Danio rerio: one gene and its partner. The protein of the gene in region 2 purifies or fractionates together with the protein of the main gene of each other region. This does not show direct contact. Links are inferred from orthologs where the notes say so. Each region holds a gene or a part of one and is shown on either strand. Other genes may lie near its edges. The genes, in order: ago4 and tnrc6ba.

Region 1 (6,793 bases), on a different chromosome or scaffold from region 2:
AACTACTACTGTAAGAAAATATCAGAATTCGGTAGGCTACTTTTGTATTACCTTTGCTTAAACTGAGCCGATCTAATCCTGTTTACGTGAATTGAACCTGCTCCCGATCAGGTTTGAGCTAGCAGAACTGTTGCCATGACAACAACTCTCAGATCAGCTTTGAAGAACGAAACGATCCTGGATCATGTCAAATCGTCAATATCCAAATCCAGCTAACTGAGTAATCCGTGTACGAAGAACCGACCACAAGTCAGAATTTGGCATGCTTGACTGTATATTTGTTTAATTGCTGATGAAATGCACTAGTTAGATATATCACAAGAAATAGCATCAATAAAAATTATAGTTATAGCACGAAATATCGGTCACACTTTACAAAAAGGTTTAATGTATTTACTAACATCAGCTGATAATGAACAATACATGTAAAAGCATTTATTAATCATAGTTTAACATTTACTAATGCTTTATTAAAATCCAAATTCATGCTTATGAACATTAGTTAATGCAACGCGAGTTAACATGAACTGACAATACTAGTTAATGTATTGTTCATTGTTTGTTCATGTTAGTAAATGCATTAACTAATGCAACCTTATTGTAGTTAATGCGTTTACTAATATGAACAAATAAAAATACAGTGGTTCATGTTTACTCACGGTTTATTAACTAATGTTATCGAGCATGAATTTGTTTGTTAATAATGCAATAGTAAATGTTGAATTAGCATTAATAAATGCTGTACAAGTATTGTTCATACTTGTTTATGTGTGACCAAAATATCGTTATTGCAACACTAGAATCATATTGCAATATTGTGTATTGCATATGTTCCCAGTATATAGTGGAACTTTTTTTCACTCATTTGTTTCCCCGTGTTCTCCCGCAGGGCACCAGCCGTCCCTCTCACTATCACGTGTTGTGGGACGACAACTGTTTCACCGCTGACGAGCTCCAGCTTTTGACCTACCAGCTCTGCCACACTTATGTGCGCTGCACCCGCTCCGTCTCCATCCCCGCGCCAGCTTACTACGCCCGGCTAGTGGCCTTCCGCGCACGCTATCATTTAGTGGACAAAGACCATGACAGGTTAGTAACACTTCAGTATTAAGAGCCTGTGTAAAGTGACCATAAATACGTGTTGAGCTCGTCACACAAAAGAAAATGTGGTGTTAAATGGAGCGCTCATCCTAAAATTATCATTCTAAACCTTTTGAGTTTATTTCTTCTGTTGAACACAGACGAAGGTATGTTAGAAAAACCTGTCACCATTGACTTTCATGGTAGAAGATTAAATGCTATGGAAGTCAATGGTTACAGGTTTTCAGCTTTCTTCAAAATGTCAGCTTTTGTGTTTACTAAAAACAAGAGAAGATATTTTGAAAAATGTTGAAAACCGGTAACCATTGACTTCTATAGTAGAAAATCAAATGCTATGGAAGTCAGTGGTTTGAAGTTTTCAGCATTTTTCAAAATATCTACTTTTGCATTCAACAAAAGAGAACATTTAAACAGGTTTAAAACAAGCGAATAGTGAATAAACGCTGAATGAATTGAAAGTTTTGGGTGAAATATCTCTTTTTAAAAGTTTTTTTATTTATTATTTATTCATACTCGAAATGGTTTCAAACCTTTTGAGTTTCTGAGTTCTGCTGCACACAAAAGAAGATATTTTGATTAAAGCTTAAAGCCGGTAACCCATTGACTTCTGTTGTAGGAAAAACACATATTGTAGACATTAGTACTTAGTTTTCCAGCTTTATTCAAAATATCTTATGTTCAATGGAAAGGTTTGAAATTAGTAGGGTTGGGTACTGTTCAGGTTTTTACTGGTATTGTACTTGTAATGCGGCACTGGTATCCATCTGTACTTTTTTCCAGTTCTTCTACTGTGTAATCGGTGTGCAAATTACAAGGGGGTTTGGTGGTGTCTGATCCCCCTAATTACACCCCCTGACGGCAGTGTTGCCAGATATAGCATACTTTTTCCAGCCCAAAACCCGCCCAAACGCACACAAAAAAACACCCAAAATATTAGATCAATATTTTACTTAATTAACCTAGTTTAACTGTTATATATTTTAAACCATACAGCACACAACACCAGCACTCACAGAACCACAGCAAAACCGGATCCCATCAAAACCCTGCCCTCCCTCTCACCCACATACTGCACTTACCTATTTGAGTATTTACTTTTGAAATGGGGTATAAATTTGTCCCGTTTTAAATTTTTCACACTGTGTAATCAGTGTGCAAATTACAGGGGGGTTTGGAGGTGTCTGATCCCCCTAAATAACACCTCCTGATGGCAGTGTTGCCAGATATAGCAGACTTTTTCTAGCCGAAAAGTTGTCCAAAACCCGCCCATATAATATTATATTAATATTTTATTGATATTTAATTAATCTACCTACTTTAACTGTGTGTGTGTGTATGTATGTATGTATGTATGTATGTATGTGTATATATATATATATATATATATATATATATATATATATATATATATATATATATATATATATATATATATATATATATATATATATATATATATGTATGTATGTATGTGTGTGTGTGTGTGTGTGTGTGTGTGTGTGTGTGTGTGTGTGTGTGTGTGTGTGTGTGTATATATATATGTATATGTATATATATATATATATATATATATATATATATATATATGTGTATGTATATATATATATATATATATATATATATATGTGTATGTATATATATATATATATATATATATATATATATATATATATATATATATATATATATATATATATGTGTATGTATATATGTATGTATATATATACATATATATATATATATATATATGTGTGTGTGTGTGTGTGTATATATATATATAAACCATACAGCAACCAACACCAGCATCACAGGACCACAACATAACTGGATCACATCGAAACCCTGCCCTCCCTCTCACCCACATACTGCACTTACCTATTTGAGTGTTTTACTTTTGAATTGGGATATAAATTTGTCCCATTTTAAATTCTTATATAATTAGGTGCTGCTTGTCAATCAGAAAATGCTTCTATGCTTGTTCTTGCTGTTACTTGCGGAAAAAACGATTGATAAAAGTGTCATGATAAACCGCTGTGCGTTTAACTTCTCGTGAAGTGGAGTCAGATATTGATAACTTTTCTTCAACTCTTGCGGGTAGAACCCGGCGGTTTGCACTATGCACTGGTAAGTACTAACTGAATGGAGTAGGAGCACATATGTTTTGTTAAATAAGTTGCATATATAAAATAAAAATCATGTTTCAAAACCGCCTAAATTTTGTCAACCCGCCTGCCATTTTTTTACCCACAATCAAATTCAAAACCGCCCAATCTGGCAACACTGCCTGAAGGAGATAAACACAAAATGCATAGGGGGGGTCAGCCCTTTAATACAGAGAAGTAGTTCACTCTGGACTGTATTTTAAATAATAATGTCAATAATAGAAATAATAGGTAATATAAATATACATTTGACCACCCCTATAACGGTTCATACCATTGTGAATGCATAACTGTGCCAATCAGTCAATGAGAACATACATTCAACAGTCTTCGACCGACACGGTAAGTGTGCAAAGGCTGTTTGTTTTTCCGTATCGCCTAAAATTAGCCAAATAAAATGCATGGTTTGAACTACAGTAATGTATGAAATAGCTAATCAGACCATACTGTAGGTCTGAATACACTGAATATCCCACATACACTAATAAACTTATTACATTGCAATTTAAATTAAAAAACACAAACTAACATTACTGAAAAAGTTGCCATGTGCAAAAAAGGAATGTCAAAGTGCATAATGGGTCCCCTTAGAGTTTCTGTAACACACACATCCCGGACAGTGTATATTGATGTGTGTGTGTGTGTGTGTGTGTGTGTGTGTGTGTGTGCTTTGTGTCTCAGTGCTGAAGGCAGTCACGTATCAGGACAGAGCAACGGTCGAGACCCGCAGGCGCTGGCGAAAGCTGTGCAGATTCACTACGACACACAGCACACCATGTACTTCGCCTGACCACAGCCAGCAGGAGGCGCACTTCTACACTCCTTCCAGCTATATCTATTATCTCTCTCTCTCTCTCTCTCTCTCTCTCTCTCTCTCTCTCTCTCTCTCTCTCTCTCTCTCTCTCTATTATCTCGCTCTCTCTCTCTCATGCTGTATTTCTCTCTGTTATCTCTCTCTCTTGAAGCGGGGGCCGTCTGTCAGTCAGTCCAGTCCACAATGTTCGGCCTCAGAAGAACCAGCCTCTACCAGCAGTCCTGCACTGAGGGGCCACTGACCTCCAATGCACACAGAAAAACAAAACAAAAAAACAAAATCAAATTGAGCCATTTTTAACCGTTTATTTTTATCCTTTCTTTCTAGTTTTGATTTTTTGAATGTCTTTTTGATTTGTAATATACACTGAGTGTGAGCAAAACCTGCGCCACCGGTCAGGGCAGCTCTGGCTCTCTCGGCTAAGCTGGACTCTGTCTACTTTTACCTCAAGCCGCCATCGGCTGAATCTTGTCTTTTTGTGTGGGAGGGAGGGAGGGGAGGGCGGGGCTTGCATGTTAACGAAGGGGGCGGGGTTTTGTTTTTGTTGACTCTCCTCATGGTCTTTTACAAACGAGGTGACCTGGGTTGTACATACCCATTACCCTGCTCCCATTTAGTGTGTGTGTGTGTTTGAGTGTGTGTGTGAATGTGTGAATGTGCAGGCCACTGAATTGTAAAGGGAAATCTAGGAGCAAACTGCTGTAAATGCCTCTTCTTTTTTTATATTAACACACACATAGATATATGGAAAAAAAAATATGTATAAATATTTACAACTCTATAAGCATATTCCTCTTGGCTCTGATGATAAGCTGATGGTTTTTGTGTAGCAGTAGCATTACCCATGGTCCCTCCACAGGCCGCTGGGGTTGTTTTTAAAAGCAGGCTTGTGTTGGTCCAGAAGCGGCGCATGTGTTATTGATCGCTCAACGGATGTGTGGCCATTGCACAGGCGTCTGATTGGCTAGGTTTGCGACATACAGCACTCTCCCTTCCTTTTATGCATTTATACATAAGAGTCAAATCAGATTTGTAAGAGTTTAATATAAATGGTTTTTTGTGGTAAACTTTAACAGTTTGTTAGAGTAGATGATCGTCGTTCTTGTCGTTTTAATGTTTATCGATCAGTCGTCGGCAAATCAATCGCGCAACTCATCGATCCAGGAGTCGTTTGTGCTTGTAAATGGAGATTTTTAAGTTTGGTTTGTTTTTATACGGCTTGTTTTCTCTTGGCGTTTGGTATCGAGGGCCCAAAATGCTTGGCTTCGTCCACTTTTTCATATTGCGATCAAATTTTAGCATTAAAATGACACATGGTTTGTTTGTTTTCGGATATTAGCAGCAGCAGTTATATGAATTTTACACTTAAAAGTGTGTTTATTACTACTTTCTCTCTCTATGTGTGTGTGTGTTTGTTTATGAATCTCTTGATGAACTTTCTCTCGCGTATTAAACATAGGACACAGAACACACACTTGCAGAAAGCACTGCCGAGGGTCTCCAGCGCACACGCCTCGTCAGGCGGACGCTCGCGGAAACACTTTTGTAATAAACCATCCGTAAAGCAGCAGGTTTGCTATGAATGAGTTTGAGCACCAGCCTGTCGCTGGCGTGGACGCTGGATCCGAGATCGTAGAAGAAAAAGGAAACGAGCAACATGCAATAATTGTATTAGCGAACTGTCACGGCGAGTCCTGGCTATCGTGTGTCCTTTTTAGGCAGATACATGACATTTAATTCCAGTTTCTATCATGAGCATCACTGCGAAGCAATATTATTAACCCGAGAAGATGATAACGCTGCAAGTTTTCAGTCTTTGTGGATGTTGGTTGGATTCCTCTTGTTCATGTACTTACTTTGCTTGTATCAATCAGTGGGAATGTGCATATGGTGGACTAGCTCTTTTCCTTTCGTTCATTTACGCTACGTGAATTTAATTTAATTCGGAGGATTTAAATGTGCTCGCCTGCATGCCAGAGTATTGTCTCTCTCTATCTCTCTCTCTATTTATTATGGCGCGGTTATTTTTATTTTTACTCTGCGTAAATCAATTCAGTGAGACTGTTTTGAGTAGCGATGTTGTCCGGTCTCCTCTTTTACAGGATTTTAAGAGTTCTTATCAGAGGCTGAGCTGGATGGAGATGTCAGTCTCAGTGAGCTCCAACCTAAACGAGGTAGTTTCTTCAATCACTGGGTCGCTGAGACTGACCTGTCCGCCGGTTTGTGTCCAATTAGGAGCCTCTGTGTTTTCGTTTTCCCCTCTATGCTCTCCAGTGCAGTGGCGCCCCCTGCTGGCTCCTCCGTACACATGCATTTCTGCTGGCGTGTGTCGGCCCCCGGGGGTCCCTGCACTAGGATTACCTCTTTATTTGTAAACCATTCGATTTCGAGAGCATGAGTTTATTATTATTATTATTATTTTTTTTTTTAAATCCTATTTGATATCTTTGGCGTTGTTATTTGGAAAGATGTGTAATTTAATTTTTCGTTTCTCTTACTGGTGTGTAGCTTTTTGTTTCGTTTATTTTTGTGCTGTTTTATTCTCGTGTTCTGAGCTGTGTGACTTTTTTTTTTTTCGTCCGATAGCAATAGTGGGCACTCCCTTTGACCTGCTTTATGGAGGCTCCTGGAGCTCCTCCAGTCCCCGTGCCCTGTCTGTTGCTGTAATGCTTTGTGACATTTTAAAAAATAAAATTATAAATCCCCCTCCCCCCCT
Region 2 (7,233 bases):
ATTCTTCAGCTGAACTCACCAAACAGCATTACACATTTACTAGAAATTGTCAGGGTTGACCTGTAATGACAGCAGGGGTTTGCTGGTGTGCATGATTAATAGCTTGGGCGATTTTCTCCATGCATTTCTCAGGGCTGGAGTCCATAGCAGCTCCAGGGTGAAAGTTAAACTGGCTGAGGCCCAATGCATCGCAGCGACTCAGCTCATCCACAAGCATAGCCTGGCTCTTACTGAACACATCTGGATTACAAGCACAGTCATTTGACACAGCCTCATATGCAGCTATTGACTAGATATTGCTTAAATCCACAGAGCTATGTTTTTTTAATGCCAACGTTGTGGCTTCATCTTTAAATAGTCAGTTTTTGGTTAATGCACACAACCACAGAGAGTGCAGTCATTGCTCAAACCTTCTTTAGGAGAACCGCAGTTCATCAAATAAGATCCATGTGGCAGGATGTGTACTGGATCGAAGCCATGTTCTGCACAGGCTTGTTGAAATTTAACTGCAGCCTTTGAATCAAGGACTGGTCTTGTCCAGGAGCGCTGAGAGCCCAAAAAAAGGGCAAAAGCGTGACCTCCCATGGCCACACTGGACTCCACTGCTTTCCATATTCCTCCTGATTAAGGAAAATTTCTAGAATTGTTATGTGTTTGGAACAAATACTGCATTAAAAATAAAGCATCTTCACCTGAAATTGAGACGTGAGCGCCTATATATTTTTTCTGTGGTTTCATCTTCCTTTTGCATGCCATTTGTTCTTTGGTGCTGCCATCTGATGGTTCTGCATCCAAGTGTTGTTGCTTCTTTGCTTCAGTGAGCTCCACCGTCTTTTTTTTCTTCTCGCCTTTTCTTCGGGAGGCCATGCTTTTTTTCTAAGTCAAGAATAAACATGTGGCTAGACATTGTTGTAAAACGCCATGATTAACTAGGCAATTAAAATAATGTGGTTTATCGATACTGATGAAAAGATTGCTATTTTTTTTACTATTTATAAAAATCTGATTATAAAATAGAATCTATAAAAAATCAAATCTACAAAAATAGATTATACAAAAAACTTAATTTTGTTTTATTAAAAATAATCCAGTATTAAACAAAGGTATTATATGTAGTTTTATAAAAAGTATATGTGTGTGTGTGTATATATATATATATATATATATATATATATATATATATATATATATATATATATATATATATATATATATATAAATATATATATATATATATATATATATATATATATATATATATATATATATATATATATATATATATATATAAATATATATATATATATATATATATATATATATATATATATATATATATATATATATATATATATATACACATACAGTTGAAATTCAGATATATTAGCCTCCCAGAATTATTAGCCCCCTGTTTATTTTTTCCCCAATTTCTGTTTAATGCAGAGAAGATTTCTTCCACACATTTCTAAACATAATAATTTTAATAACTGATTTCTAATAACTGCTTTATTTTATCTTTGCCATGATAACAGTACATAATATTTTACTAGATATTTTTCAAGACACTTCTATACAGCTTAAAGGGACATTTAAAGGCTTAACTAGGTTTATTAGGTTAACTAGGCAGGTTAGGGTAATCAGGCAAGTTATTGTATAACGATGGTTTGTTTTATAGACTATCAAAAAATCTATAGTTTAAAGCTTAAAAACTGCTTTTAGTCTAGCCGAAATAAAACAAATAAGACTTTTCCAGAAGAAAAAGTATTATCAAACATACTTTGAAAATTTCCTTGGTCTATAAACATAATTTGGGAACTATTAAAAAAAGAAAAAAATTCAAAGGGGGGCTAATAAATCTGACTTCAACTGTATATATTACAGAAGGGTGAAGAGGCTTTACAAGTGCAAGTGCTGTTATTACGGGTATATCGCATGGCTATCAGCCAATCAGATTTGAGAACCAGACAGAATTGTTATTAGCCCACCTTAGATTTTTTTTTCTTTTTTAAATATTTCCCAAAATATGCTTATAAACCAAGGAAATTTTTACAGTATGCCTGATAATATTTTGTCTTTATTTTATTTTGACTAGAATAAAAGCAGTTTTTAATAAAAAAAAAAAAAAACATTTTAAGGTCAAACTTATTTGCCCCTTTAGTCTACAGAACAAATCATCATTATACAATAACTTGCTTAATTAGTCTAACCTGCCTAGTTAATCTAATTAACCTAGTTAAGCCTTTAAATGTCTCTTTAAGCTGTATAGAAGTGTCTTGAAAAATATCAAGTCAAATATTATTCACTGTCATCATGGCAAAGATAAAATAAATCAGTTATTAGAGATGAGTTATTAAAACTATTCTGTTTAGAAATGTCTTGAAAAAAATCTCCCTGTTAAACAGAAAGTGGGGAAAAACAAACAGGAGGGCTAATAATTCAGGGAGGAATATGTATTATTATTCTAATAATTATTTATTATTTATTTTGTTATTTATTTAATTATTATTATTCTAATAATTATATGTGTGTGTTTACACACAATATTTAAGGTCTTAAAGCTGAAAAGAGATTTTACATAAAAATGTATTTAAAAACACATTTTACAAATTATTATTATTATTATTATTTATACTCTTCATCATTTTAGTATCTGTAACGTTATACAAATTGATGCTGATTCAAAAAAGGCCTCTGTGTACTAAAAATCTAAAACCTTATCTAAATTATAAAAACATAAAACTTATTATGACAGACTGGGGTAGCCTTAACAAATGTTGCAAATATGTACATTTAACGTTAGTATTTATTGTGAGGCATCGCTCTTTTTAAGTAAGATGAAATTTCTTGTGACAGACTGAGATAGCCTTAACAATTTTTACAAAAAAGCAGTAGGCTACCTTACGTAACATTACGTATAATTAACATTCACTGCAAATGAGTCAGGTCTCATGCCAAATATGTTCTATTTATTAAAAGAACGTCCAATTAAAGAGTTATTGGACTTTTAATATTGAAGGTCAAAAATCTCCCTCGGCTGCCCCCCTTCCGTCAGATCTGTCCAGACACACACATTCACACCGAGCAGTAAAATGGCCGACCGTCAACCAACTGACTTTACAGCGCTTTAAACATAGATTCCGCCTCTTTCGTTTACATTATCGTATTTCATATTTAAAACCTACAGAAGGAGTGTTTTCATGACTAGCTCATAGATATTGATGGAGTATTGTATTTCACGTTGCCTCAAAACCCAGAAATTCGCACTTAAGCACTTTAGCTGTAGCTAGAAGACTAGCTGCGGTGCATGTAATTCCTGAGGTAAGTGCTTTATTTTAAAAATCATTTCATGTGAAATGTTGCTTGCAACTAATGACACTAATATGCATTTTGAAAAACCGCAGTTGCGTGAAAGCGTTTTAGTATGGTACAGTTTTTCTTCGTCGACATCTGTTAGCCCTAGCTCTGTCGCTAGTTAAATTAGCCAGGCAGCCAGTTAGCATTTGCCTGTATGCAACTTTAACGTTAGCTTTCCGCTGGTCAATCATGAAAACATACTCGTTGTTGTATAGTAACACACTAATGGATCTGAGTTATGTCTGCGTTAAAATAAGTATAAGTTGAGTTTAGCTAGGCAATGTATATCACGACTATTAGTCCAGGCTTGCTAACGTTACGTTAACGTTGCTGCTGCCCATATTTGAGCAGTTGCATATTTATGCATATTTTGTTTTGACAGCTGCTTACCCTTTTGATTTGTGTTACGATCCGTACGTAAATAGACTCTGGCTTCAGGGAGAATTTAATAAAATATCTGAGGTTCACGTTTAGGATGTTAATATCTTCTGCTAGCAAATTAGCTAACGTTAACTGAGTAACATACACCTGAGATTGGCAGGACCACTAAAGCATACGCGTTAGCTCGGTGTGTTTCAGTTAGTGCCGTTAAAACACTGGATTTAACAGTTGTTTTTGCTCGAATTGTTCGTATAGCCGACGTAAGGAATGTATGCTATATTTTAAATTTTACCCGAGGAAATGGGCGGGTGGACGGACGAAGCGCCTGTCCAACAACTCTGCCCTGCCAACTGCAGGCTTCCAGACAGATAGCAGCAAGAGTTTCCCCCATTATGAAGATCACAGTATGAATTTCATTGGCATCCGTTTTTTAATGACAGGTTCAAACTCCACTCGAGCCTTCGTTCAAATTATTTTTACAAAGATTGGTGATATCTTGATCATGTGATTGGTGCCGTTGTTGTGTATTGTGCTGTTATGCATTTGGTTTGATAACACAGCAGCACCTCTTAGTGCCTGAACTGGTTGAAGGTGATACTAGACGTATGCATTTTGCAGATCCTTGGTATTGTATACTAGGAATTGGCAGTTTATTTACATTTATTTACATCATTATTTACATGGCAGTTTATTTACATTTACAAAGTTTTACAATTGAACACTAGTTTTTGATGTTTTGTTTTTCAAGAAAGGAGCACCAGGAAAGGGAACAGCAGTTCATGGAAGACAAGAAAAGGAAAAAGGAAGATAAAAGGAAACGGGAAACCTCGCAGAAGGTAATTGCTATGTTATATTAATTATTTCTGACTATTAAGTTAAGCACATACCGTCTTTGAAAAGATGTGTGTTCATTTTCAGAATTGAAATAGCATTCTGGATTCACTTTTTATGCTGTAAATGTAGAAGTCCTTTCTAGAGAATAACGTCGTATTAATAGTTAACTGCATCAACCAAGCCTCTGGTACATGTTTGTCAAAGTATCATTGTAGAAATACTGATGCTTGGCTGTTCATGAAAATATTGATTGCTATCACTTAATTAGCATTCATGCTTTAGGTTTGATCTCAATATAATCTTGCTTACCATATCTAAATCCTTGAAAAGAATGTGTAAGATATAGTTGAGATGTTTGTTTTGGGCCAGCTTGTCCTGTCAGATACTCTGACATATATGTGCTAAACACAGATAGGTTATGTTGGCTGTTTAATTAGTTTTTTTTTCTCATTGCAAAACCTATATATATCACATGCTATAAAAATATTTCCATTTTGCTGTCAGGGGTGCAAGAGGGTTTCTGCATGTGAATTTCCTCTCAGCTTCACTGAACAATTGTGAAGTTTTGAGATGGAGTTATAATGGTCATTAAAGTTTTATTGTTCTTAGTGGGAAAGGCTACTTTAAATAATTTTATTAAATGCGGTGGAATGTAGTTAAGAGATGAAGAAGGAATACCTTAAACTTTGTTGTGTGCCCTGAGTAAATTAAAATATATGTTTTCATCAAATCTGTATCTCCTTTTTTATTGTTTTAGGTTGCAGAGCAAAAAAATAAAGGTAACTATTTTATTTCCATCTTTAATTTTTGAACTCTGTACTGACGTTCTGAGACTATGTGTTTTTATGCTGTCAAGGAGGCATATTATGTAATGTCCACTTTGTTAACTTGTGAATTTATTCTTTTCTTTTACCTATATGTAGCTTTTCTGCAGTTCTGCTCTCATTTGCTCCTAACTTTTCCACCACACAGTGCCAGAATTGACCAAGCCTCCATCTGCACAGTCTCCTGCCGCCCCCAACTCAGCTTCCCCCAGCCCTGGCCCCGTCCCCTCTTCAACCCCATCCGCTGCCACCCCGGCTGCTGGCACCCTCCCTCAGGGTGGGAACAATGCTAAGCGGCCGGCGGTGGCCAACGGACAGCCCTCCCCCAGCACACCGAATTCTCAGCGCTACATGCCCCGTGAAGTGCCCCCTCGATTCCGTTGCCAGCAGGACCATAAAGTGCTACTGAAGAGGGGCCAGCCACCACTGTCCTCCATGCTGCTGGGGGGAGGCAACAGCGGGGGAGACAGCCCCAATGAAACAGTGGCTTCTGCCTCAGGTAGGAATCATTAGGTTAATAATTTAAATTGCATAGTTACATTTTTATTCAGTTGTACACTGGGTAAGTTGATCATTATATTTTATAGTTTGTATTACATATGCTTGGTTTTTGTGTCATAAAAAAGTCTAGCATATCTTGAAGATTTTATTTTATTTCAGATCCAAGCCAGGGCCCTGTGGGTCCAGCTGCTCCCTCACTGCCCCATACGTCATCCGCCTCATCAATCGCTGCTTCTTCTTCTTCAAATTATGCAAATTCCATGTGGGGGACCAGCTCTGGCAGCCATCCCCTCTCTCAGGGCAGGGAAAAGGTGATAGTGGACCGGTCAGACCTGGAGGAATGGCCCAGTATTGCTGCTGGGGATGGATCAAAGTCAGGGGATGCAGCAGGTACAGGAGGTACAGACAGTGGTGCGATTCTGAACTGCAATGCCTCGTGGGGTGAGAGGCATCTCCAGCAGCAAGCGAAAGTTGTGGGAGGAGGGAACGGAAGGAAAGGAGTCAATTCTGGCAGTCCCTCTCCGCCCACATCCTCTGGATCACCCAATGAATGTATGCAGTCTGGTAGTGTTTGGGCTTCATCCTCCCATGAACTCATAGGGGGGAATGCAGTAGCAGCAGGCTCATTGCCCCCCATATCCAAAGCTGCCCCTCTCCCAGGGAGCTCTGATAGCTCCTTTGGTGTCAGCTGTGGGATTCCAGGTGCCAATTTTACCCCTAATGCCAATCCCTCTGCTTGGCCAGCCCTAGTACAGGAAGGGGCTGGGACAGTTGCAACAGAGGGTGGCTCCTCTTCCCTCCAAAGCTCATCTTTGTCTGCCAGCAACCCTCTTTCTGTGAATCAAGCCTCTCATCAGCACCAACTTCACCAAATGCAATCCAGAGACAGAGAGCCATCCTGTGGAGAATGGGGTGGCACAGCACTGGAACCAGGAGCAGGACCAAAAAACACTGGGGTGACAGAGGGGGCTGATATGGACTCTGGAAGCACAGGTGGAGGAGCAGGCTCTGCTTCGTCTTCCTCCTCCACCAGCTCATCATTGTGGAGAACTCAGCCTTTCCCTGCAAACTTCAAAACGGGTGCCTCAAGGACTGAATCTTGGGATGATGGAGCAGGAGGGAGCTCCTTGTCTGCTGAAGGTGGGAAGGCATGGGGATATCCCGGCCAGGACGATCGAGGAGATTTGACGGGGGCAGGTGCCTGGGGAACAGGAAGTGGGGGTCAGACCCCCGGGGTATCTCAGGGAGCGTGGGGTGGGGACCATTTGTTGGGTGGGGAATGGGGGGCATCCAGTGGTGTTGGAGGTGTCAGTGATCAAGGTGGGAAAGACGGCTCAAG

Evidence for each region.
Region 1: the proteins of tnrc6ba (region 2) and ago4 purify together in Homo sapiens (co-immunoprecipitation; 3 studies listed by BioGRID and IntAct, with this or other methods). This does not show direct contact. The link is inferred for Danio rerio from reciprocal best matches to the Homo sapiens genes TNRC6B and AGO4.

What each region holds. Positions count from the first base shown.
Region 1 is NC_133194.1:50,609,620-50,616,412, forward strand, and holds the end of ago4 (protein argonaute-4), read left to right. Parts: intron 1-889; coding exon 890-1,089; intron 1,090-3,944; coding exon 3,945-4,053; 3' UTR 4,054-4,067; downstream 4,068-6,793.
Region 2 is NC_133187.1:20,943,944-20,951,176, forward strand, and holds the start of tnrc6ba (trinucleotide repeat-containing gene 6B protein), read left to right. Parts: upstream 1-3,047; 5' UTR 3,048-3,318; intron 3,319-3,577; exon of another isoform or gene 3,578-4,027; coding exon of another isoform or gene 4,028-4,126; exon of another isoform or gene 4,127-4,276; intron 4,277-4,483; 5' UTR 4,484-4,514; coding exon 4,515-4,571; intron 4,572-5,326; coding exon 5,327-5,348; intron 5,349-5,541; coding exon 5,542-5,892; intron 5,893-6,053; coding exon 6,054-7,233. Other genes in the region: si:ch211-141o9.10 (probable endonuclease 4), read right to left, coding at 61-240, 411-620, 693-876, 4,028-4,126.